Astyanax mexicanus: one gene and its partners. The protein of the gene in region 2 purifies or fractionates together with the protein of the main gene of each other region. This does not show direct contact. Links are inferred from orthologs where the notes say so. Each region holds a gene or a part of one and is shown on either strand. Other genes may lie near its edges.

What was found.
Region 1: the proteins of srpk3 (region 2) and ftsj3 purify together in Homo sapiens (affinity purification with mass spectrometry; 3 studies listed by BioGRID and IntAct, with this or other methods). This does not show direct contact. The link is inferred for Astyanax mexicanus from reciprocal best matches to the Homo sapiens genes SRPK3 and FTSJ3.
Region 3: the proteins of srpk3 (region 2) and ebna1bp2 purify together in Homo sapiens (affinity purification with mass spectrometry; 3 studies listed by BioGRID and IntAct, with this or other methods). This does not show direct contact. The link is inferred for Astyanax mexicanus from reciprocal best matches to the Homo sapiens genes SRPK3 and EBNA1BP2.

Annotation. Positions count from the first base shown.
Region 1 is NC_064423.1:28,670,940-28,678,975, reverse strand, and holds the start of ftsj3 (pre-rRNA 2'-O-ribose RNA methyltransferase FTSJ3), read left to right. Parts: upstream 1-5,027; 5' UTR 5,028-5,132; coding exon 5,133-5,199; intron 5,200-5,895; coding exon 5,896-6,001; intron 6,002-6,115; coding exon 6,116-6,162; intron 6,163-6,257; coding exon 6,258-6,337; intron 6,338-6,986; coding exon 6,987-7,086; intron 7,087-7,200; coding exon 7,201-7,395; intron 7,396-7,475; coding exon 7,476-7,591; intron 7,592-7,700; coding exon 7,701-7,805; intron 7,806-8,036. Other genes in the region: lonp1 (lon protease homolog, mitochondrial), read right to left, coding at 851-970, 1,061-1,149, 3,250-3,765.
Region 2 is NC_064419.1:4,598,471-4,606,029, forward strand, and holds the start of srpk3 (SRSF protein kinase 3), read left to right. Parts: upstream 1-4,503; 5' UTR 4,504-4,567; coding exon 4,568-4,583; intron 4,584-5,219; coding exon 5,220-5,331; intron 5,332-6,125; coding exon 6,126-6,727; intron 6,728-7,278; coding exon 7,279-7,387; intron 7,388-7,559. UniProt on the Homo sapiens protein: Serine/arginine-rich protein-specific kinase which specifically phosphorylates its substrates at serine residues located in regions rich in arginine/serine dipeptides, known as RS domains.
Region 3 is NC_064415.1:56,522,485-56,529,870, reverse strand, and holds the start of ebna1bp2 (probable rRNA-processing protein EBP2), read right to left. Parts: upstream 3,084-7,386; 5' UTR 2,945-3,083; coding exon 2,870-2,944; intron 1,948-2,869; coding exon 1,864-1,947; intron 1,777-1,863; coding exon 1,613-1,776; intron 1,229-1,612; coding exon 1,105-1,228; intron 389-1,104; coding exon 299-388; intron 222-298; coding exon 146-221; intron 1-145. Other genes in the region: cfap57 (cilia- and flagella-associated protein 57), read left to right, coding at 4,789-4,945, 5,729-6,039, 6,373-6,632, 7,240-7,386. UniProt on the Homo sapiens protein: Required for the processing of the 27S pre-rRNA.

The DNA of each region.
Region 1 (8,036 bases), on a different chromosome or scaffold from region 2:
TTTAACCAATCAATAATATAAAATGTATTTATATAGCGCTTTTTACAACTGATCCTGTCAAAAAGCAACTTTACAGAACCATTAGTTAATGGGCTTTTTATCCAAATCTCACACTGTAGAAACTAAATGAACACAGTAAAAGAAATGCACAGACCAGTGGGCAGGTCAAACACATCCATAGATATGCTGATGTGCACACACACAGCATTTAAATGCGGACAGACTCAAATTATATGTCTAAAATGTAAAATATATAAAATATCTAAAATCTTTTTCCAGCTGCAGCATTTTTCAGTTTCAGAATTTTACAAAACAATGAAATAATGAAATCACAATTACAGTATTTTTCGCACTATAAGGCGCACTTAAAATCCTTTCATTTTCCCAAAAATCGTCAGTGTGCCTTTTAGTCTGGTGCGCTTTAGTATGGACTTTTACCAGTCAGGTGGTGAGGAGAAGTAAAGTCACTCTGCTGAAGTACAGCGTTATAAAAGAAAATATTTCAGTTAAGTTCTCCAGCACTGGGGCTGGAGTAGCATTAGCATTAGCTGCTAACCGCTATTTCCCCCTTCAGAGGCGAGTATTATCGGCCTGTAGCCTGCTGCTAAGCCCGGCAAGCGCTGAAAATCTTTGTAGATTAACATCCAGCATTCTTTTTTTTTTATTTGTTTTGTTTACTTAGCTTAGCTTTACTTAACTTAAATGTGCCTTATAATCCAGTGCGCCTTATGTATGAAAATAGACCATAAAATAGGTGTTCATTGATAGTGTGCCTTATAATACATATTACAGTGCAAAAAATATGGTACAAAACTCTGCTGTGGGTCTTTGATTTAAAACGATGAACTACCTTCTGTGTCCCATTACAATCATGCGAAGTTTGTCGCCAAGGTCCTGCATCTCATGGATCTGAACAAAAGTCCCTGTGTTGTAGACGGCATCCAAATTTGCCACAACATCTGACTCATCACTGATTAAAAAAAGAAAGAGAAATGAGACAATATAGTCAAATGGTCATTCAAGTAAGAGTTCAAATAATAAAACTTTCTTAGATCCATACCCATCATCCTTCTTGAGAAAGACACCGGCGTATGGCTGAGCAAGTCGTACTTTTCTTCTCAGCAAGTCCATCAGCTGCTTATTTTTCACCTGGAAAGAGAGAGAAAAAGAGTGCAGAACTGGTTAAAAGAGTAATTTACACTGATATGCCAAAAGACGTTGAGGTGAGTGAGACTGAACATAGTGCTCATGGCAAGGCACTATGAACAAACAGAGTTCAAGTGAGGCCTGATAGCGAAGGTCAGACGAATGTCATAGAAGACATTACCACCCAACAGTGGAAAAGTGCAGTGGGTGGTAATGATCATGACCAGTGTCATGTGGCTAGATCTGTCCATCTCAAATCAAGGATGATCCACACACAGACCCACAGGTCACTGCATTGTAATTTAGCTTCCATGGGACATGGCAAAAGTCATGGGACACAATAACAGTTCTTGTCCCATGATTTGTGGCACATCAGTAATGGTCTCAATTTATGTGAATGGCACAGCTTCATTTTTGGGGCTTAAACTTTTCTGATCCTAATACATTTATGTTACAAGAAACTTTTATTATTTTTAATTATTGATATATTTTATACTGTAGGTTAACATATGTTGCTATTATGGATTTAGCTGGTAATCAAAATATATCCCAATTGTTTTAGAAGCTTCTCATTACATTATGGCAACACTATGACAACAGAAAAACTCCAAAATATTACAGTAAAAGTTAGAGAACACTCCTGGAAAGATAAATTCTGGAGATGCCTGATTTTGTTGGACAGCAGCACTGTGTTACATTCATATTGGAGGAACAACAAGAGTATTTTCCCAGCCTACAAAACAATTAAGAGAGGTCTCTTTAACTCATTGTGCACCAACAAAGATCCAGGGGGAGCCCATGTCAACCCTGCTAGGGGTTAACCATTTCATTCAAGCCATTCTGTTACAGTGAATACCCTCACTTTGACTGTAGTGAAACAACTGCACCTCTCTCATTTACATGCACTGTTTAGAAGTGGGAATAGTAATAGGAATGGGCCACATCCTCTTGCATGCATGCAATAATATCTCCAAAATAGACATGATCTAAAAAAATCTTAAAAGCAACATATTTTAACTGCAGTTTAGATTGAACTAATTTATATATATATTATATATATACTCAATAACGTTTTAACCCATAAGTGCCCAGAGCAGCTCCCTCATTTTTTCTTATTGTTGCCACTTAACTGTAAATATTTTAAGGTTAAAAGCCTGATGTAACAGAAATGACAGAACAACTATTTCATGATTTTAACTTTTAGTTCTAGAACTAGTGTCAGATGTACTAACAAGGATTGTGGAACATTTAATTAAAGCATGTGAATTGGTTAAACAGATCTGTAAAAGTCAAAGTTTCTCTTTTAAAGGGAGCTAGTTTTATCTCAAGCAATAACCCAGCACTCCTACATTATTTAAATAAACACATTATGTACAGTATGTGTCACTTAAGGACTTCATGACTTAAAATGACAAAGAGCAGTAAGGATTTTCTAGATCTTCTACAGGGTTTGTGACACATACCTTAGCATGGGCTCTTTTTGGTTAGTATTTTTTTGCAGAAGTATAATCTAGAAATTAATTTGAATATATATGTAATAATACTGAGATTATTTCTTTATTATATTATATTAGTTTATGATTATTATTTTAGGCCGATATTTCCCACCCCCAGTTGTCAATGACAATGTATGTCCAAAACATTTGTATGGACATAAACCCTTTAAATGTATTTATATTTCTCCCAGTTTTCTTCAAAAACAATCTCTACTCTTCTAGAAAGTCTTTACTGACCACTTGAACATTGCTGTATTGAATCTTTGATTGCAATCAACCATATTACAACAGATACAGTTATTATGGTCAGGTACTGACGTTTAATGGTTATTTCTGATTAGTACTGTCACTCCAGCTAATTTCAAAGGTGGCTTACTGGTTCTCCAGCTCCAGAGAACCCCACAGTACACACCTGACATTAACCCTGGTGGCCTTAGGGTTATACATCACACATTCAGTGTCAGCAAAAAGTTCACCTTATCTAAACAGCTGAACACACCAGCTAACTAGCTGGGTTAATTAGTTAGAAGTGTGTAGATACGGCTGGACTTGCAGTATAACTAGCTGTAAACTAGTTACTGAACCATGGATCTGAGTGACTACTAACCTCGATGATCTTTATGAAACGTGGGAAAACAGGGTTCCTGGTGACTGCGATCAGAGGAACGTTAGGAAAAACCTCTGGCACCATCATAGGTGTCAAAGCGGTCATCTGAGGAGCTCCATACCCGCCTCCCTCTCCATCCCCGCCCGCATCATCCGGGCCAGCCCCGCTGCTCTCCGCTCCATCCTCCCCGGACAGCCCGCCGGGTCCGCTGCCCCGGTTCCCCATCATATAGCCCCTGCGCTCGGAGCTGACCGACCAACCGGGTCCTGAGGCGTCCCTCCACCCGGGGAGGACGGCGGAGACCCGGCTCCATGCCCTGACGCCCGCCGCTGGAGGAGAACCGATGCCGCACAGCGGCTTGAGGCCGGAGCTGTAGGCATACGCTCGGGTCGGGGTTTGCCCGCTGTGGCCGGGTGTCTGGCTCCGGAACAGCGCTCTGATTTCAGCGCTGAAGGCGCTGGAGCGGGTCTGCAGCGCCTGTCTGTACGGAGCCCACAGTCGCATGTACGCCGCCATGTTTATCTGGAGCCTTCTACGAGCCCAGAGCCATGCACGCGCTGCGACCGCTGATTGCGTCAGCGTGTTTACACACGCCCCTTAAACTGGAAACGCGGCTGGAAACATATTTTCATTTTTCTATTTATTTATTTCTCATAATTTAGTATATAATATCCAATTTATATTTAAACAATTAATAAAATACAGTCTAAAATAAAATATAAATAAAAAGTGCCCTTATACTTATTAATGGTCGCGCTCCAATAAACGCACTCGGGTTCAAGGGTTTCATAAGAATGCAAATCTCCAGTACTTGGATGGTTTGTACTTTTTTTACTACTAGCTTTATGTTATTTAAGATGTACTGATAATAATACAGTAACACCTGTACATAAAAAGTTCAGAAATCATTATTTGGTGGAATATCTCTGGTTTTTAATTACAGTTTTCATATATGTTGGCATGTTCTCCTCCACCAATCTTACACACTCCTTTTAGATAACTTTATGTCACTCCTGGTGCAAAAAAAACACAAGCAGAACAGCTTGGTTTTATGGCTTGTGATCATCCATCTTTCTCTTGATTATATTCCAGAGTTTTTCAATATGGTAAAATAAAAGAAACTCGTCATTTTTAAGTGGTCTCTAAATCATAATAAAAAAACAAAACAAATAAAACCTTTACTTTTAATGTATGTATGTATTGTGTGTAGCTTATATAGTTAGCTATGGAGAAATCATACCCAGGTAGCAAAAGTACACTAAATTGAAGTTAATCCTTGCATCTTTAATACAACAATTTTGACCTCCGATGTCAGAATTGATTTATTAGTTCACATCAATTTTACAATCAATGTTGTATTTCTTGCTTGTATTTCTGCTACATTGTAGGAATGGACATTTAAATAATAATATCAATCGTTATTTATCATATTTTTTGTGGAGAACACCTATTACATATCAGAACTGCAACCATTCAAAGACTTTCAACCAACGCCTATTAGATAATGATAAATAAAGGTTGTTTTTCCATCATCAACATTAAAAGGCTTAATGCAACAACAAAAAAACGTTTATTGTCTTGAAAGTCTTGAAAGCACAGCAGCACAATATGGTCTCAGTACTATACTTTCAGTAGCTGCAAGACAAAGGTCGTGAACGTAATAGTGGGTTTACGCAACTACCCCTTGTTCTTACCTCAGTGCACTTAGAGGTGCACAAGTGTACAGAAGGAAATCTCACCAATTGGGACAGTCCCCCACTCGCAGATGTGACGCCACCACCACGCGCCTCTAACCCCCACGTGTGGAGTCTGACTGAGGAGCTCGACGTGTTTAAAGCTTCAGACTCTCACCGGCTGCCTGTATTTATCTTTAAAAAGCGAATATGGGTAAAAAACTGAAGGTCGGAAAGACCCGAAAGGATAAGTTTTATCACCTGGCCAAAGAAACCGGTGAGTCCAATGAAACAGGAGCTCCGTTTCGGTGTTTGTTGGGGTATTAAAGCTAAACTAGCTGGCTAACATTAGCTTAGCTCTGTGAGCAGCAGTTTAACCACACAGAGAGCAGAATAGCTAAATTAGCTAACTTAAGTTACTCAATTTCTCTCACTGATTAAGGGCTTTCAGATGTTTTTATATTTTGGCTTCTGCTTGTCATTTAGTGTATGTATCGTTTTATTAATTAAGTAGTTACTGATTTTAGATTAATTCTTGTTTTGGTTCAGCTCCTGTTCTGCTTTACTGTTGCATGCGTTTCTGTGTCACTTTGGAAATGTATTATTTTAGTTTGAGCAAAATATCCCACAAAGGAAAAAACAGCAGAACAGGCCTCTGTTTTCTTGGAATGTCTTTATAAGCTTTTTCATTTATGAACAAATATTAGTATCCAAGTATTGTGTGTGTGTGGCATCCATGTATATAGTGTGAAGGTTTATTATGTGGTTATTATCGTAAAATTGGCCTGTTTTTTTTAAATGCAATAAAACCCAAAATACTGTTATTGTGACAGGCCTACTAATATAATTTTAAGCTGTAAAATATACAGATGTACACATTTACAGTTAGGTGCAGAAACATAGTGAGTCTGCAATAAAATAAAATAAAAATATTTAATTTAGAAGATTTAATGCTGTGCTTTTTGTTTTTCAGGTTACAGATCCCGTTCATCTTTTAAGCTCATTCAGCTAAACCGTAAATTCAACTTTCTCCAGAAAGCCAGAGCTCTTGTGGATCTTTGTGCTGCTCCTGGAGGATGGTAAGATGTCCGATCTGTAAAATGTCATGGCTGAATTATGTTTTAGTTGTATTGCTGCAGGTCCACATGGGGTGATATCTGTGTGATTGTTTAATTGGTTTAATCTGCTTACAGGCTGCAGGTGGCGTCCAAGTTTATGCCAGTGTCCAGTCTTATTATTGGTGAGTTTAGACTTCAGTTAAAAAGTGAGCTTTAATTCAGTCAGTAGTGGGGTTAGACAGCCCTGTCTTACTGTTCTTTCTTTTCTCGTGGTCAGGAGTGGATCTGGTCCCTATCAAACCCATCCCTGGAGTTGTTGCCCTGCAGGAGGACATCACAACTGAAAAGTGCAGACAGGTAGGACTGGTATCTATGGTAGCCTGCAAAAATGATCAGATTAGTGTTATTTTGCTGGAGTTCATTGCAGATTTGCCATTACAATTCGTAAGTACATAATGCTCCTTAAATGTTTGGTCCTACTTTTCAAACTCAATATGCAGTCTTGCGTTAATCACCATGGTACTCAGGGGGCAATATAGGACATATCCTAGCTTCTGTAAACAGTACAGGGTTACCACTGGGACTGTGAATGGCAAAAAGCATGGTAGCAGTACAAGACAACTTGGCTGTCACTGTATCGCCTTTTGAAGCAGCACATAGAATGCAAATAGCATTATCAATGCACCATGAAATACATTGACACATTTTTTTTAATTCAGTTACACACAAACCCCTGTCTGTGTAGCTTAAAGCGCCCATTTTTTTCATGCTTGTGTGAAGTGTGTTTCGAGCTTTAGGGTATAATAAAAGCTAACATGAAATTTGTAGATTTTTATATACTACACAATTTAGGTAATGTTGTTTAGCATTTTAAGGTGTGATAGAAGGTGTGATGCATTTTTAAATAAAATTATTGCATTTTACTATACTGTAATGATCAATTAATCACTGTAATGATTCCATATTGTCATTCTCCACCTGGAACTGATGCATCTTTGTCCAACAGGCTCTCAGAAAAGAGCTGCAGACATGGAAAGTTGATGTGGTACTTAATGATGGAGCACCCAACGTAGGAGCCAACTGGCAGCATGATGCCTTCTCTCAAGGTATTTTTTGTATAGTCAAAAATTAAGGAATGTATTAAAGATGGCCATATTCTAATGAACTTCGTCTAAGATTCAATCTGCTTGTTGACTTACTGTTTTAACTCTTTTCCCCAGCTCATCTCACTCTCATGGCACTGAAGCTGGCCTGTGAGTTTCTTGCTAAAGGAGGGTCTTTTGTCACTAAAGTCTTTCGCTCCAAAGACTACCAACCCCTGATGTGGATCTTTCAGCAGTTCTTTAAAAAGGTGCAGGCCACCAAACCCCAGGCCTCTCGTAATGAGTCAGCCGAGATCTTTGTCGTCTGCCAAGGTAGCATTCCTCTACTCTACTGTTGTTTTTTTTATGTCTTAAATAGCACTCGTAAAAACACCTTTCTTCTGCTCTGTTAGGGTTTCTGTCTCCAGACAAAATTGATAACAAATTCTTCGACCCCAAGCACGCCTTTAAAGAGGTGGAGGTGCAGGTGAAGACTGTGAAGGAGTTGGCCACGGACAAGAAACCTAAAGTAAGTGTGCTCACAGCGAGAAAACTTGCATTAACAATGCATTATATAATGTTTACCATAATCCTTGTTTTATCGTTTATTTTTATTTCTTTCTTTCTTTCTATAATAGGCAGAAGGCTATAATGAGGGTGACATGATCTTGTTTCACACTTTCTCAGTCACTGAGTTCTTGAAGGCTGAGAACCCGGTGGACTTCTTAAGCAAAGCCAGTGAAGTAAGTGCTACTATTAAGGAGCTTAATAAGTAGTTAATAACATTAGTTATTAAATTGTAATAGAAATCAGTCATCCATAACTGCACAAGCCTTGTTTATTACATTATCTGGTTATAGTAATAATTTATTAAAGGGACACATTATGAATAACTCACTTTTTGTGTGTTTTTGTATTTCCACTTGGGTCTCGACTGCCCCAAACATACACCCCAAGTTTGAAAGCAATCCATC
Region 2 (7,559 bases):
TTTCATTCTGCACTAACTTTTTTTTTATTTGGGATTGTCTTGTTATTATTGTTTTTTTTTTATTATTTGTAATACCAAAATCAGAAAATACCCGTAATCAGAAAAAGAACCAGAAATGTAATACTTCGTAGAACTTGATGTTGTGCTCTTCTGCTGTATTTATTTGTTTATCTTCTTCTTTACCTGATAAAAATCATGTTGGCTTTTATATATGAAATGCTGCCAATTACCAATACATTAACTGAAGGACAGAAGGTTTGATACATGGTCTTGATATATGATATATGTGTGATTGCTGCTTAGACTTCAAAGACTAGATCAAATATAAATATATATATTACATGTGTACAGTGGGGTGGGGAGGGTAAAAGAAAGAGTGTGGAGCTAATGCTAAAGCTAACGTGTGTTGCCTCAGATGTAGCTAAAATGTTGCAACATAAAACTGGACGAGAAAAAAAATACGTAGGACGTGGCGTTTAGAAACGGGTGAGTGAGAGCACGTGTGATTGGTGATTGGTGACTTGTGGTCAGGGCGATGGGCGGAGCCAGTCAGCTTTGTTGCTTGGTTACAGTGATTTAAAATAATAATAATAATAATAAAAAAAGAGCAGCAGTTGTCCTGGGAACCCGTGTAGATCAGACACTGAATAGAAACTAACTTATTTGTACTGTAAATAGCGCTTATTTATACACGACTACCAAATGTGCCTTCTTTGTAACCTTTTATATCGATTACCAATTACAGTATACAGTAATCAAGCTTGACGTTAATTGCCAAATAGAGGAGAGGAGACGGAGCCACAGCTGTAGACTGTGTGAATTAGTGTGGAAAGACAAGGGCTGGCCTGAACTGATTTCTTTTCTGACCTTCATTTACACCACTGTTCTGTTTATTCTTCTGTTTTTTGATAATTATAATTTTTTACATTTTTCACTGGAAGAATATTAATCTGACCGCAGCTTCTCAGCATCTCAGGGTCACAGCTACCCTTCCTGGTGATTTCAGTATTCAGTATTCCTGTATGCTTGTGTGTACAGCCGCCTTCTGTTTAACAGGGTTTTCCACCGTTCTTCAGTTTTGAAATGTTCCGACTTCGAGTGTTCGATCTGATTTATTTTTTTTTATTATTTTATTTTTTCGTTTTTTAGATGTCCCAGGTGAGGATATTGTACATAGAAATTATTTTAGAATTAAAACAGGATTGTAATCATTTGTAAATTCTTTTTTCTTGATGTTTCTGAAGTACAGCTCGAATTAGATTTTTTTTTTTTTTACATTTTTGTTACTCTTTGCCTGTAGCACTTTGTGTTTACACTCTTGCCTTTTTCCCTTCCTTTAGAAATGGTTTAGAAAGCTAGTGTGTTTCCTGATAGTGTGAAAGGGGTGTGTGCCCTAATTCAGGCACTCGTGTTAAAGCTGAGCGACTGTAAGTGTAGGAAAGTCAATAAAAAATTTTATAAATAAAAGGTATGTACTGTTGGACGGACTTTGCAGTCTCAGATAAATAAAGGGGGCTGCTGATGACTGATAGCTTTTATTCACCTTACCATTCATATGTTTTTTCCTAAGGTATTCTGAAGAGATACGTATATACAGAACTGTGCAAAAGTCTTAGGGTCTTAGGGTGTTTTCTGACCTAAAAGTCTTAGGATCAGATTTGGAACCGTGGTTCATGTGTTTGTTATGTTGTGCTGAATTCTGTGTCTCATCTCAACATGAGTATTACAGATTCCCCTTTTATTTCTATTTATAAACAGAGCCATCAGCTGCCGGAGCCCTGAGAGAGCACAATTGGCCTTGCTCTCTCTGGGTGGGTACAGTAGATGGTGCTCTTTCTCCTCATTAGTCCTAAGGTGATGTCGATCTGCACAGGGCTGCGTCTGTGAGCTGATGTATACTGTACCCTCCTGGTGTTGGGTAATTGGCCTTGTAAATTGGGGAGGAAAAAATATTTTTAAAAATGTAAGAAATGTTGCTGAATGCATTCATTAAAAAGGCTGTTCACAAACTTTTGGATTTATAGCACAATCTTTTACTTTACTTTTTTCTTTGTAAAATTTAACTAATAAAAAATACTATGCCATAGCTTTCGTTCAGCCCACAATTTCTATTTAATTATTTGTCTAATAAATGTTTAAAAGTGTTTAACGTTAAAGAATTCTCCTGTGTCCTGAGACTTTTGCACAGTGCTGTATATTTATCCAGCATGTACTGCTGACGACTGACTGCTTTCATCCACATCAGGCTCCTCCTCCTGTGTGTGTGTTAGGGGCCTGTGTGTGTAAGTGTGTGTGTGTGAGGGGGGGGGGGGATATGATGAAGACAATGTTATTAGTGTATTTATTCAGTTCATGTGTAATTTAGAGATATCAGGGTTCGTACTAATGTCCGGATGGGGTGCGTGTGTGGAGGGGTTAAACCACAGCAGGACAATATTCTAACCCTGGAGAGATATGAGGGTTATTTTCTTTTTGTTTATTTGTTTGTTTGTTTATTTGTTTGTTAGGCTGAATTTGAATGTGTTTGGCTTCTCAGTGTAGTCTTAATTATTCTAGACTTCTGCATGCTTGATTGACTGGCTGATTTGATTGGCTTTTTTATTTTTCGGCCAGTATGCTACTGGGCGCATGGCACTTGTGCCTGTGGTTTTCCACTGGCCAGATCTGAGTGTGTGTTTCTGAATGTAACGTGTGTGTGTGTTAGCAAGCCCTTGTGTATGGCGGCGAGGCGACAGCCTGCGAAAACCTCCAGAAAAACAGACTTTTCTCAGAGAGAAAAGCGAGAGACAGAGACTGAATCCTCTTCCCGAACTGTCTGTGGAACTCGCCGTCTCGCCAAATCCTGCAGCACTGTTCCTGATGTTCCTCAGCGTTCCACCACAGTGACAGTAGACACGGTTCTGTACGGACTGTCTGAACGGTGTTCGTGGAGCCTTTGCCAATTGCCATATTTTACAGTTTTTTGTACAAGGGGAAAAAAGGTAATTTTTTTAAGGAACTGGGGTTAAAAAGAGCCTAGGCCTTCTGTTCTAGACTCCAGTTCTTTTTTTGTATTTGTACTGGGTATAGTTTGCTAACAGCTGTGTATATGTACCTGTAAATACTATGAAGAAAAAAAAAATCATTTTTTTTTTCTCTTTTTTTTTCAACTTGGTTATACATACCATAATGTCTCCATTGTGGAGAAATTGGGAGCCAAAATGTTGTAATGAGTGGAATCATGAAATTTGTATGAGAAATAAAAAAAAATAAAGTTATAATTTTAACAGTGAAACTGGATGGGTTTTTTTTTGTTTGTTTGTTTGTATTTTGTTATTTATTTATATATTTTTATGTTTTCATGTGTATTGGTCATTTCAACATGAATTAAAAAAATATGTCAATTATCAGATTTGGGAAAGAATCAATTTATGGATATTTATATTTATAGTGCTTTACATATGTAAATTTTTTTATAATTAATTTATAATTTATTTAACTATATTTTTTAACATCACAGCACACATTACATGTTTGTTCTTTCAAATATGTTCAATATATATATATATATATATATATATATATATATATATATATATATATATATATATATATATATATATATATATATATATATATATATATATATATATGACAGCTCTAAACCTTTTCTACTGTCGGGAACAGAAAGCTGAAGGAAACTTTCAACTTTTTTGGGGGGTCGTTATGATGGTGTGGATCAGTGGATAACAGCTCCAAGTGTGCAAGTGAGCTACCATGTGGGAGACCTGGGTTCAATTCCAGGTCTGGGTGAGTGGATGCTGGGCTACACCAAAAAGAGTCCTTGGGCAAGACTCCTTAACACTACACTGGGCCAACTCTGTAATAGGAATTACTTTGTAAGTTGCATTGGATACGAGTGTCAGCCATAAATAATAATAAAAAAATAACAATAATGTAAATGATGGCAAAGACACTTAGCATGGTTGACTGCTTGTCTATAGATTGTTAAAAAAGGGCTGATTAAATTCCTAATAATGACATATACTGAACATCCTGAGTGCATGATCCCAGGACAGTGTGTAAATGTGTGTTCATTCACCTGACTTTAAAATTAAAAGTGTATTTGCTGCTTCTACATGTATGTACCAAGCATTTAAACAATTCAGTGCATTAATTGCATATTTTCTATTTTGGTCAACTAGATGTCGACCAATTTCTAGAACAAAATGTTAAAATACGATTAAAATGTTATATTAAACAGTTATGAAAAAGTTGGGCATTTATGTTATGCATTGGAATTTTAAGTCATGTGCACTTTTTATCAAAATGACCAAAAAAAACCTAATATAAATAATTTAACGGATTTAAATTTGCATTCTAACTCTAATTCAAATTCTAATTCAAACTCCAGAGCTGGGTCTGGGCTCTTATGAGTTAATGCACTTTTTATTATTATTTTATTCATTTATTTATTTTTAGCTGTTCTCCCAAACATCACTTGCTCAGCGAGGGGGCCAAGCCTCCCTCACGCGCATGCGCAGACAGAGGCACAGAAAGTGTTCTCGCGCTGACAGCTGCAGCCCTGATGATATCGACGAACGGTGAGGAGTTTTTAAACAGCCTTTTAAATCGTTTTAGTGTGTTTTTAGATACGAACAGTTGTATTGTTGTCGTTTACGCCGTAATATACCGTAATTTAAGTGTTTAAGTCAAGAACGGGCGATGTTAGCGCTGTTCTGCGGCTCCTCTTACAAGCAGAGCTGTTTTATGCTAGCAAATCCTGGGCCGCTGTCCAATTAGAGAACGCTTGCCCTAGCTAGGGCGCTTTGTCGGTGCGGACATAGCCTACAGTGTCTTGGTTTGGATTGTGGCCTATGTAGTGTTAGCGGTAGGAGGCGAGGGTGCGGATTGGAGCGCGGCCCAAGTGAGCGTTTGTTGAGCGGTTTGTATTTGGAAAGAACTATGAAACATATTATATAAAAATGATATGTTAAAATAATTTACATTCAGGGACAGCCTTAAATAGTGTCTGTTTTCATTTGCTAAACTATTAAAATGTATTTGTCTCAATGAGTTTATGCTGTTAAGAGGCAAGAATTGTGGTTGTGAATATGTGAGCTAGGTTAGCTAAAATAGCTAGTTAGCTTAGCTTAGTTTAGCTAGCTAACTGCTATGCTAATAGTGTTAGTTAACCTGGCTAACTAGCTAGTCAGCTAACTGTGCTCTCTGACACACAGTGTCCAGCGCTAACAGCCTCCCGCAGAGCAGCAACCCGGGCAAGAAACACAAAAAGAAAAGCAAGAAGCACCGGAAAGCCACCAGGGAGCTCGTCCCCAGCCTGGAGCTCGGGTAAGCTGCACCAGTCTGGGATATGGCCCAGATTTGTGCGCCTGGGTTTGCTCTCTCTCTCTCCGTGTGTGAGTATGTGCTAAAAATACATGAGGGCGGTCGAGGGACTCACTTCTCCAGATATGCACATTGACTCATGCCCTCTTTCCCCTCCTTCTCTCTCTCTCTCTCTCTCTCTCTCTCTCTCTCTCTCTCTCTACCTACGTGTGTGTTCCTATTTTAATGTAACCTCAACAATGCTCATGTTAGGAACACATCCAGAGCCCTTCTTTCTACTTGCACAACATTGTCAACCAGAGTGAAATGTTGAATTCTGTTATTCCATAGGAGCCCAGACTCATTTCTGCATATTAGAACAGTTCAAATTATGAGATACTAAATCCTAATTATGAGATACTAGCCCTATCTGGACGGGATTAGTTTTGGGATTATTTCACACTTCTACTCAGTGATAAAACTCTTGTATCTGGACTGCAATTGGCTTTCTTGGTCACGTTACATCACGTTCAGTAGCTCCTCCATTTCCACTCGCTGTTGTGTTTACGTGGATCTCTATATGACGCATAAGACGCATTGCTTGAAACTAATAGCAAGGCACCTTTAAGTCAAGTACAAAGACTTTAGTAGAAATGGGTAGGATCCAGTCCACTGAAGTGGTAATGTCTGGGACTATAAGACCCTTTGGTTGGTGTAGTACTAAAGCACATTACTATTGCCCTTGTTTTAATGTTAATATATTTGTAATTAACCATGCTATGTTTTTTTTCTCATTTATCTTATGACAATGTCCACAGGCCCCAGATCCCGGCCTCAGATGACTTCTGCCACATCCTCACCGTCCACAGACCCACCACTCCTCCAGACAGAGCCCCCTCTCCTCCACTAAACCTCTCGCAAAGCCCCCCAGACCTTCAGCCTGTGCCCCCTGTCTCGGTCCCTCACTCTGAACCCATTTCAATCGCTCACTCTGAACCCATTTCAATCCCTCACTTGTCCCACATCTCAGCCCGTCACTCACCCCCCAACTCAGCCCCTCACTCACCCCCCATCTCAGAACCTAACTCACCCATCATCTCACCCCCACACTTACCACCCATCTCATCCCCGCACTCACCCCCCATCTTAATCCCTCCCTCACCCCCCATCTCAGTTCCAGTCACAGAGCTTCCCTCACATACAGTACTACCATCACCAGAGACAACTACTTCTTCCATAGCTCCTTCCCTTGGCCTACCTTCTGCTTTTTCCACAACTCCACCTACTCCATTAGTACTATCCAGTCAGACAACCCCACCACAGGCTCTCAGCCCACCCCCACCAAACTTTACCCCACCTCCAGCAGAACTACTTGGGTCAGATGATGAAGAGCAGGAGAATCCAGCAGATTACTGCAGAGGTTTGACATTTGATAAAGTAGTAGCCGCTTTTAAAATGCATATAATGGCCTGGATAAGTTTTGGAAAAATAAAAATACCCAGAAAGTTTTGGTGAAGGCATGGAAATTTGCAATTCACACGTGTGTGTTTCCATTTATTGACTAAGAAAATCTGTTTTGAGCTAACAAATACATCAGCTCAGTTAATTCAGTAATGTAGCCCTACACAATGGAGCTCTCAGGATCTGACACTCATTGCTTAAATTATTATTATTTTTTTTATCATTAAAGTTTTAGTTGATTTCTGGTAGATATCTGCACTGATGTTTTCAAGATCGCATGGTCATAAAATTTTTGCCTTAAAAACATGGGAAAGTCATGTAAAAATCATGGAAATGTATTGGTTAAAAAGTGTATGAACCCTGCATATAATTGTTTAAGCTGTTTATGCATTTAAAACTGCATAATATTTAGAAATACATTTCCAGGCAGATTTTAGTGTTGTAATATCTAAATTTTTAATACAATAAATCATAAATGAAGTTTAATCCTGATGTTTGTTCATGTTTTAGGAGGCTATTACCCAGTGAAAATTGGAGACCTCTTTAATGGCAGATATCATGTAGTGAGGAAGCTAGGATGGGGTCACTTCTCCACTGTCTGGCTGTGCTGGGATCTTCAGTGAGTAGACCATTCAGAAATGCCATGTCTAATTCTGAAAACAACTCAACTGCATTTTATTGATTCACCTGTAATAAAAACTGAAGTCATATTCTGTGTGTTTATTAGATTATACAGAATATGTCAGCTGCTTATTATATAGCAAGGTGTTCCTTGTTCCAAATACTACTAG
Region 3 (7,386 bases), on a different chromosome or scaffold from region 2:
CAACAATAAAAGAAATAAATGCTTAAAATAGATCACTTTGTGTTAATACATCTTTACATTTACAACTGAATTACTGAAATAAAGTAACTTTTCAATGATATTCTATTTTTTTTAGATGCACTAGTACTACAAAAAGAACCCAAACCTCTCTGATATTTCTTCACTGCCGTCATCATGTCCCTCTTCTGCTTCTGCCTCTTCTGGAGAACCTCCACTTGTACCTAGAAAGCAAAAAACCCTTAGCAACAACTCAAACTGTTTAAATACTTTAAAATAAACGTCGGTTTTGAGGTCTGACCTTTTTGCCGAACTTCCTCTGTTCTCTCAGCTTCTTGGCCTTTTCAGAATTCTCCATTGCTACTTGCTTCTGCATGAGCTTCTTCCTGATCTGAAAGAAAAAGACAAATTAATAAGGACAGTGCTGTGTTTACATTTTATTGGAATACCACAATGATAAATACATTTTCTACTAGGACATTCACTTGGACATAACTTGGATTCGCTTGTTAAGTTGAGGTGAGTTTTAGACAGAGTAGAAGACAATCAGTACTGTATGGTACATATAATACATTTTTTCAGTGAAGCTGCTGTTAATGAATGTTTTTTTTGCTAGGGGTGCTCCATATCATATGTTCATGAAAAAAAAAACAAAAAAAAAAAAACGTGTATACGTGCTAATTACTAATAAGCATTGAGGGTTTTTTTTGTATAATAATTTTTTTGCTTAACTTTACACTGTTTCTATGAAACATTATTGTCTGTCAGATTATGTTGTTACAATTTTGGAAGGATACTTTTTTTTTTAATAAAAAAAAACACTTTTTATTTGTTTGTTCTGCTGAATGTTAAAATACATAAATAAAATTACACTGTTTTTGTCTTTCACTGAAGAATATAATTATCGCAAAAATATTTTAATAGTTTGTGCATGTTATTTTTGTAATCTATATGCATTTAACAATGTTATATGTTGTTCTGTCCATTGAATATTGAACTACTATGCTAGCACAGAATGAACCAAGACTGCTACAGTGCACAGTGACAGTACGCTTGTGTTCTCACGCTCTGTTCATTTATAGAAGCTAAAATGAGGCAAGAACTTACCTTCTGCATATGCTGATCAGTCTTGGACATCTCTGCAAAGTAATCATCAGGCCTTTTAGTAAAAATATTCAGCTTCTTTAACTTTGGAAGGGCCTCAAGAACAGTTGCTTGAGCCTGTCGATAGCTGGAAACACAACAATAAAGAGAAACCTCCAGATTAATCATCCTTTAAGAGTGATTTTACTGCTCCTTAATATCTGACTGGTAATAATTCATACATAAAGTGCGCGGGATTAAAAAGCCTTCATAATACAAGGACTTCATAATAAAAGTCCTCAGTCCAGCTCATATACTTATAAAAAAAATATGCTCCATATATAATTTGGCATGTGTGACTGTCTTCTATAACAGTTTTTAAATGTTTAGGTGAATAAAGGTGAAGTTATAATAAATAGATCTAGTGTTGTAAGAGATATACATCATTTATACTATTAAAAACAACAGCAAAGGATATTTATTCTTTGGCTCCAAAGCTTTGAGATTTTTTTTAAACAGAACTCATACTTACAAATACATTTCCCTCTGAAAATCGTCCTCAGGATTGACGTCGTCGTTGCTCGGTCTTCCTTCAGCTTTGGCCAGAACGTCATCTACTGGTTTGTTGGTGAGGTCCAGCCTCTCGACCCAAGGCAGGTTCTTCTTAAAGTCAGCCAGGCACTTCTTCAGCCCCTCCTTGTAGAACAGAACAGAGGTGTGTTGGTTTTGCTAAATAGTATCTCTAGAGAAATAAAGTAATAATAAGTAAATTAGGGAACTCACTACGTTGTTGACGGCCTTCTTTGGTTCTTCTAGAGGAATATTTAAACCAGGTTTGAGAAGTCCTTTGGCAAAAGCCTCCTGGAGCTGAATGGAGATGAGAAGAAGGTTAGGTAAAGCGTAGATTTGCAGGATTTCAGTGAGTTTGCTTTGTGACATCATTAGTTGGTAAAAATAAAATGGTGAGTATTTTTTTATGGCCCAAAATTTTAAAAAGTCCTTGAAAATCACAATGGAAAATCAGAGAAATAGGATTATTCCAGGCAAGGGTATTTTTGCAATAACGATATACTTGGCAAAATAGAAAAACAGAAAAACAATTCATTAATTTCAGGAATATAGTATAATAGTATAACAGAATAATCGTAATGTGGCAAAATAAATAAAATAGCATAAAATAATATGCAGATAAAAAAAATGCAGAATATTTTCATGCATATAAAGTGCAAACTAAAACAATTATACAATAAATACACCTAAAGCTTTACAGTAAATAATAGACTACATTTAAGACAAAGCATCCCTTTTATCACGATATGGATTTTTAATATCATGATAAATATGTGTCACGATATATTGTATACGACATAATATTGCCCACCTCTAGTGTTGAGTTTCAATATCTGAGACTCTTAGGCTATCAGAAACTACATATCAAACATGTATAATGTGTGTTAAGACTCCTCTGAAGGTCGTAAAGATTTTTGTTCACACTGTTCATTATTTATTTTTGTTCATATTCGCTAGATTGCAGTTGGATCTACCAGTTCCACCTTAAATGGGTCTGCAGTCACTTACTGTAAGTTAAATGCAGCTCCAGTTAAGGTGGAACTGACAATACACAAAGTAAGCTGGTTATTATAAACAAAACTTAAATCTATACGACATCCAAAACGGTCGCAAAATACAACTCGTTCTATCGAAGTGACTTTAGACTCGTTTAAAAAACAATTACCATCGATAGAAATACAATACTACCTTAAAACATTTTAAACAACACAGTTCTCACCTCCCCATCAGATAATTCCTCATATTCCTCTTCAGACTCCAGCCCCAGCTGACTGTCCTCCTCTATATCTACCATTTTAACACTGAAAAACTTCGTTATGATGATAAAAAACACGTTATTAAAGGCTATCGTTTCTTTTCACGTGTGATTCAAGCTCTCACAGCGTGGGCAAACAACGCTGCGGCACAGATCGCGGTCCGGGTAGAACCAAGACTCTTCTGAGAACAGTTCCGACCTCGAGTGCGCTCCTCCAGTGGTTTAAAAAAAGGACTTTTATATTTTTAAATGTTTCATATCGCTTTTTTATTCAAAGTTTGAATATTGTTTCTTTTTGCTGTGGAATATTTTTTTTAAATTAAAATTGTGTCACCTTTTGAAAGGTATTTAATGTTTAGAAACATAAATAATTAATATTTTGTTAATAATTAATAAATATAACACTCTTGTATTAAACAATTCTATAAATGTATATACCATATTTTGCTTTCCATATTAATTGTAGGTCATTTTAAATATATTTAAAAAATATATAAGAAAAAAAATATATATCGCTAAACTAATAAAGACTTTTATTTTTTTATGTTTTAGATCTTTTTTTCATAAACGTTTAAATATTGTTTTTTTTGCTATGGAATATACTTTTAGAGTACTATAAAATTTAAATGTTGTATCCTTTTTAATAGCTCTATATTTAGAAACATAAATAAACTAGTAATTATTGTTATATGAATATTTTTAAACACTTGTAACGTAATTAAAAATATTTATAAATGTATAAACAGTACTATATTTTCCTTTCTATCTTAATTGTAGATGATCTTTGCTTTTTTTTTTAAATCTACGTTGTATTGAGTACTTTTTGTAGTATAAAATACTTTTATTTTGTTTACACGCAAAAAAAATGTGCGTATTTTTTTTTTTTCAAAATAATAAAATAAATGTTGATGCTGTACAGGCTGTATAATATGATATAATATGATTTAATATAATATAATATGATACAATTACTATATTTATATGTTTAAAATTAAACGTTAAATAATTATTTTTTTTTTTTAGGCAAACCTTTTATTAGTATTTTGTATGATATGTTATTATTAAAGTTATTATTTATTCGTTATTTATTTTATTTCATTTTACTTTACTTTATTGTATCACGTGTGCGTGGGGTTGCCTAGTAACGCTGCAGCTTTGCGTTAACGTGGTTACAGTAAACCGTGGCTGTTAGCTGTTAGCAGGCGATTTATCTCGCGATTTTTTTTATTTTATGTGCTTTTAAAGAGTTTATAAAAGTTCTGGTTCTGTTCACTACCGCTGGATTGGCTCTTATTCGGTAAGTTTCTCTACTAAACAAGAGGCACTGAGGCACTTTATCAGACATAACTGTGTATTAAAAAACACAGGAAACCTACCAATGCACTCCAAACATATATATATGTATATATGTATATATATAAGTAGATTGTTTATATTTTTATGTAAATATTTATTTTTATTTTATGAAACTTTTATATAACTTTTTTAAACAGTAAAAAAAATCTCATTTTTTTTTTTTTGTCCAATGCAGCAGTTGAGGCTAAGGTGCTGTTTTTGATTGGCTGATTAATGTCAATTATGTTGGACAACAGGCCTCAATCTGTATTAAATGCAAAACTACAAAAATATAAGAAAACAGATGTTGTTCATTGCAACAGATGCAGGGTCTGAAAGGGTTAAGGTGCAGAACGTGGGTACATGTGGGTTTCATGGGTCTGGATTTGCCATATTTGCTAGTCTGTCCCCGTTTTAGACTATTCTGTACACTAATATTGACTTACTAAGAACCAGCATGTGTTTTATATTATATGTATTATGATTTACTGTGTCTAAAACTGCCCTTCTCTCCATTTTCCTTGAATTCCACAGATATTTCTTGAGCCATGGCTGCAGTAGTGGCTCAGTCTCACCATATCTTTGGCCTGAGGACTGGAGTAAATAATAACCTTCTGTTTTTCGATGAACACACTGTGGTTTTTCCTTGTGGAAATAACTGTGTGCGCTATGACCTCGATCAGGCATGCCAGAGTTTCATTCCAGGTGAGTGGACTAATGCAAATAGTAATTAAGATCGAATAAGTGGTTATAAAAAATAACATAACTTAAGTACAGACCTATTTTAGCCTAATTTAACACATGGGACACAAGGGATGATGACACCCTTTAGATCTGACATTTGCTCAAACATTTTGAAAAAGCAATGTCTTAGGCATCAGTGTCTTCATAACCTTTTGCTATAGTAACCTTCTTTTAAAGAGCTTCTAGGGCAGGGGTTGGCAATAGATAAAATGCTTCTCTGGTGAGCTTTTGTTTACATACCTCCCTCGTCTCCCTCTGTTGCGCTTGGTGCGACTTTAGTTTCTGCCCGTTCATGTTTTTCCACCCGTTATCGTGCTCCCTATGACTTGGCTGTGTCCAAATTCACTAGCCGGGGTAGTGGCAGTTTATTTATTCATTTTTTAAAATCGTTTCTTCTTGGGTTTTACCTGCTTTGAGATCAACTGTTCTACAATTGGGTTCAACAACCCTCTGGGCTGGAGTGCTGCTAGTCTGTAGCACTTCATCCCATTACACTTCATTTTCCTAAACAATTTTTTTATGGCCTGCCACATAATGGCTTGGAAAATACTGTATCTGGCCCATGGCCAAACTTAATTTCCGACCCCTGCTTTAGAGCATCTTGTTCTGTTCACTACTACTACAAATATTTCTGTTAGTTTATTTAGAACAGAGCATTTCACACCAAACCCACTCTGAATTTACATTTTAACCATTTAATTATGCAGATACTTTGATCAATTCTTTCTTCATTACCTCCTACAGGTACAGAGAGGAGCCAGAGCATGCAGGCTATGGCCATCAGCGCTAACCGGCGCTACCTGGCCGTGGCAGAGCACAAGGAGAAGGCTACCATAACCATTTATGACCTGCAGCACGAGCAGAGCCGCAGGAGGAAGGTTCTGACCGGTGGAGAGCTTCCAGTGCGGGAGTTCGTCTGCATGGCCTTCTCTCCTGACTCTAAATACCTCATAGGTCAGGCTGGAGGACCGGAGTGGACCCTGTTCTACTGGGTTTGGGAGAAGCATAAAATCATGGCCACGGTGAAGACCACCAGCACTGGTCCCATCCACCAGGTAGGATTGAACTGCATTTCCTCAAAAAAAGAAACCATGTTAAGCACTGCAACTATGATCAGAAGATCGCTGCTTCGAATTCTGTTCATGCAGCTTGCCATCAGCTGCCGGAGCCCTGAGAGAGCACAATTGTCCTTGCTCTCTCTTTGGGTGGGTACAGTAGATGGCGCTCTTTCCTCTTATCACTCCTAGGGTGATGTGGATGAGCACAAGGCTGCATCTGTGAGCTGATGTATCAAAAAGAGGCATGGTGTAATATTGCTTTAAAGAAAGAATTTAGTAAAAAAAATGGATATTTGGTTTAAGCATGTCCTGCTCTTCTCTCGTTCACAGGTCAGCTTCAGCCCTCAGGACAACATGCAGATCTGTGTGAGCGGCAACGGCTTGTTCAAGATCTTCCGTTACACTGAAGGGGCCTTAAAACAGACCAACTCTGTCAAAATGGAGCAACATAACATCCTGTCTCACGCCTGGATGTCCAAAGAAAGGATCATTGCTGGAACTGAGACGGGACGGCTGCTTGTGTTTGAGTCAGGGGACCAGCGCGGGAGCCTGAGCGTCACCAGTAAACCCTCCACACAGGAGCCAGAGAGGTAAGAGGATGTTTAATATTAATAACTGTCTCAATCCAGTGCTTGTTAGCAGTGTTAGCCTAGCATCTCCCATTCTAACTTAGGCGCAGAGCTTTTAGACCTCAAATAATGCAAAGAAAACAAGTTCATAAAATTTTAAGAGTTCAGAAATCAATATTTGGTGGAATAACCCTGGTAGTTTTTAATCACAGTTTTTTTCATGCATCTTGGCATCATGTTCTCCTCCACCAGTCTTACACACTGCTTTTGAATAACTTTATGCTTTACACTCCTGCTGCAAAAATTCAAGCAGTTCAGTTTGGTGGTTTGATGGTTTGTGATCATCCATCTTCCTCTTGATTATATTCCAGAGGTTTACAATTAGGTAAAATCAAAGAAAATCATAATTTTAAGTGGTCTCTTATTTTTTCCAGAGCTGTATAATTATCATTAATGGTTAGCTATCGAATCTGTTTTCCCGCTGCTTCCTTTTATCTTTCTACTATTTCCACTATTTACACAGTTTATAGACATAAAGCCTATTCTTCTGTTATGCTACAGTACACTGACTACTCTTTCATTTTTCTCATTGCCATTCTACATTTTGCCTTGCTTTGCTGTCCGACAGAAAAACAGACAGGAGGAAGTCGGAGGACACCTCCTCTTCACCGGCCTTATTGCCAAGAGTGACGGCCATCTCACCCTACTCTAAAGGATTCGCCTGTTCAGCCGGCCCAGGAACCGTGTGCCTTTTTGAAAAAACGGAAGAGAAGGA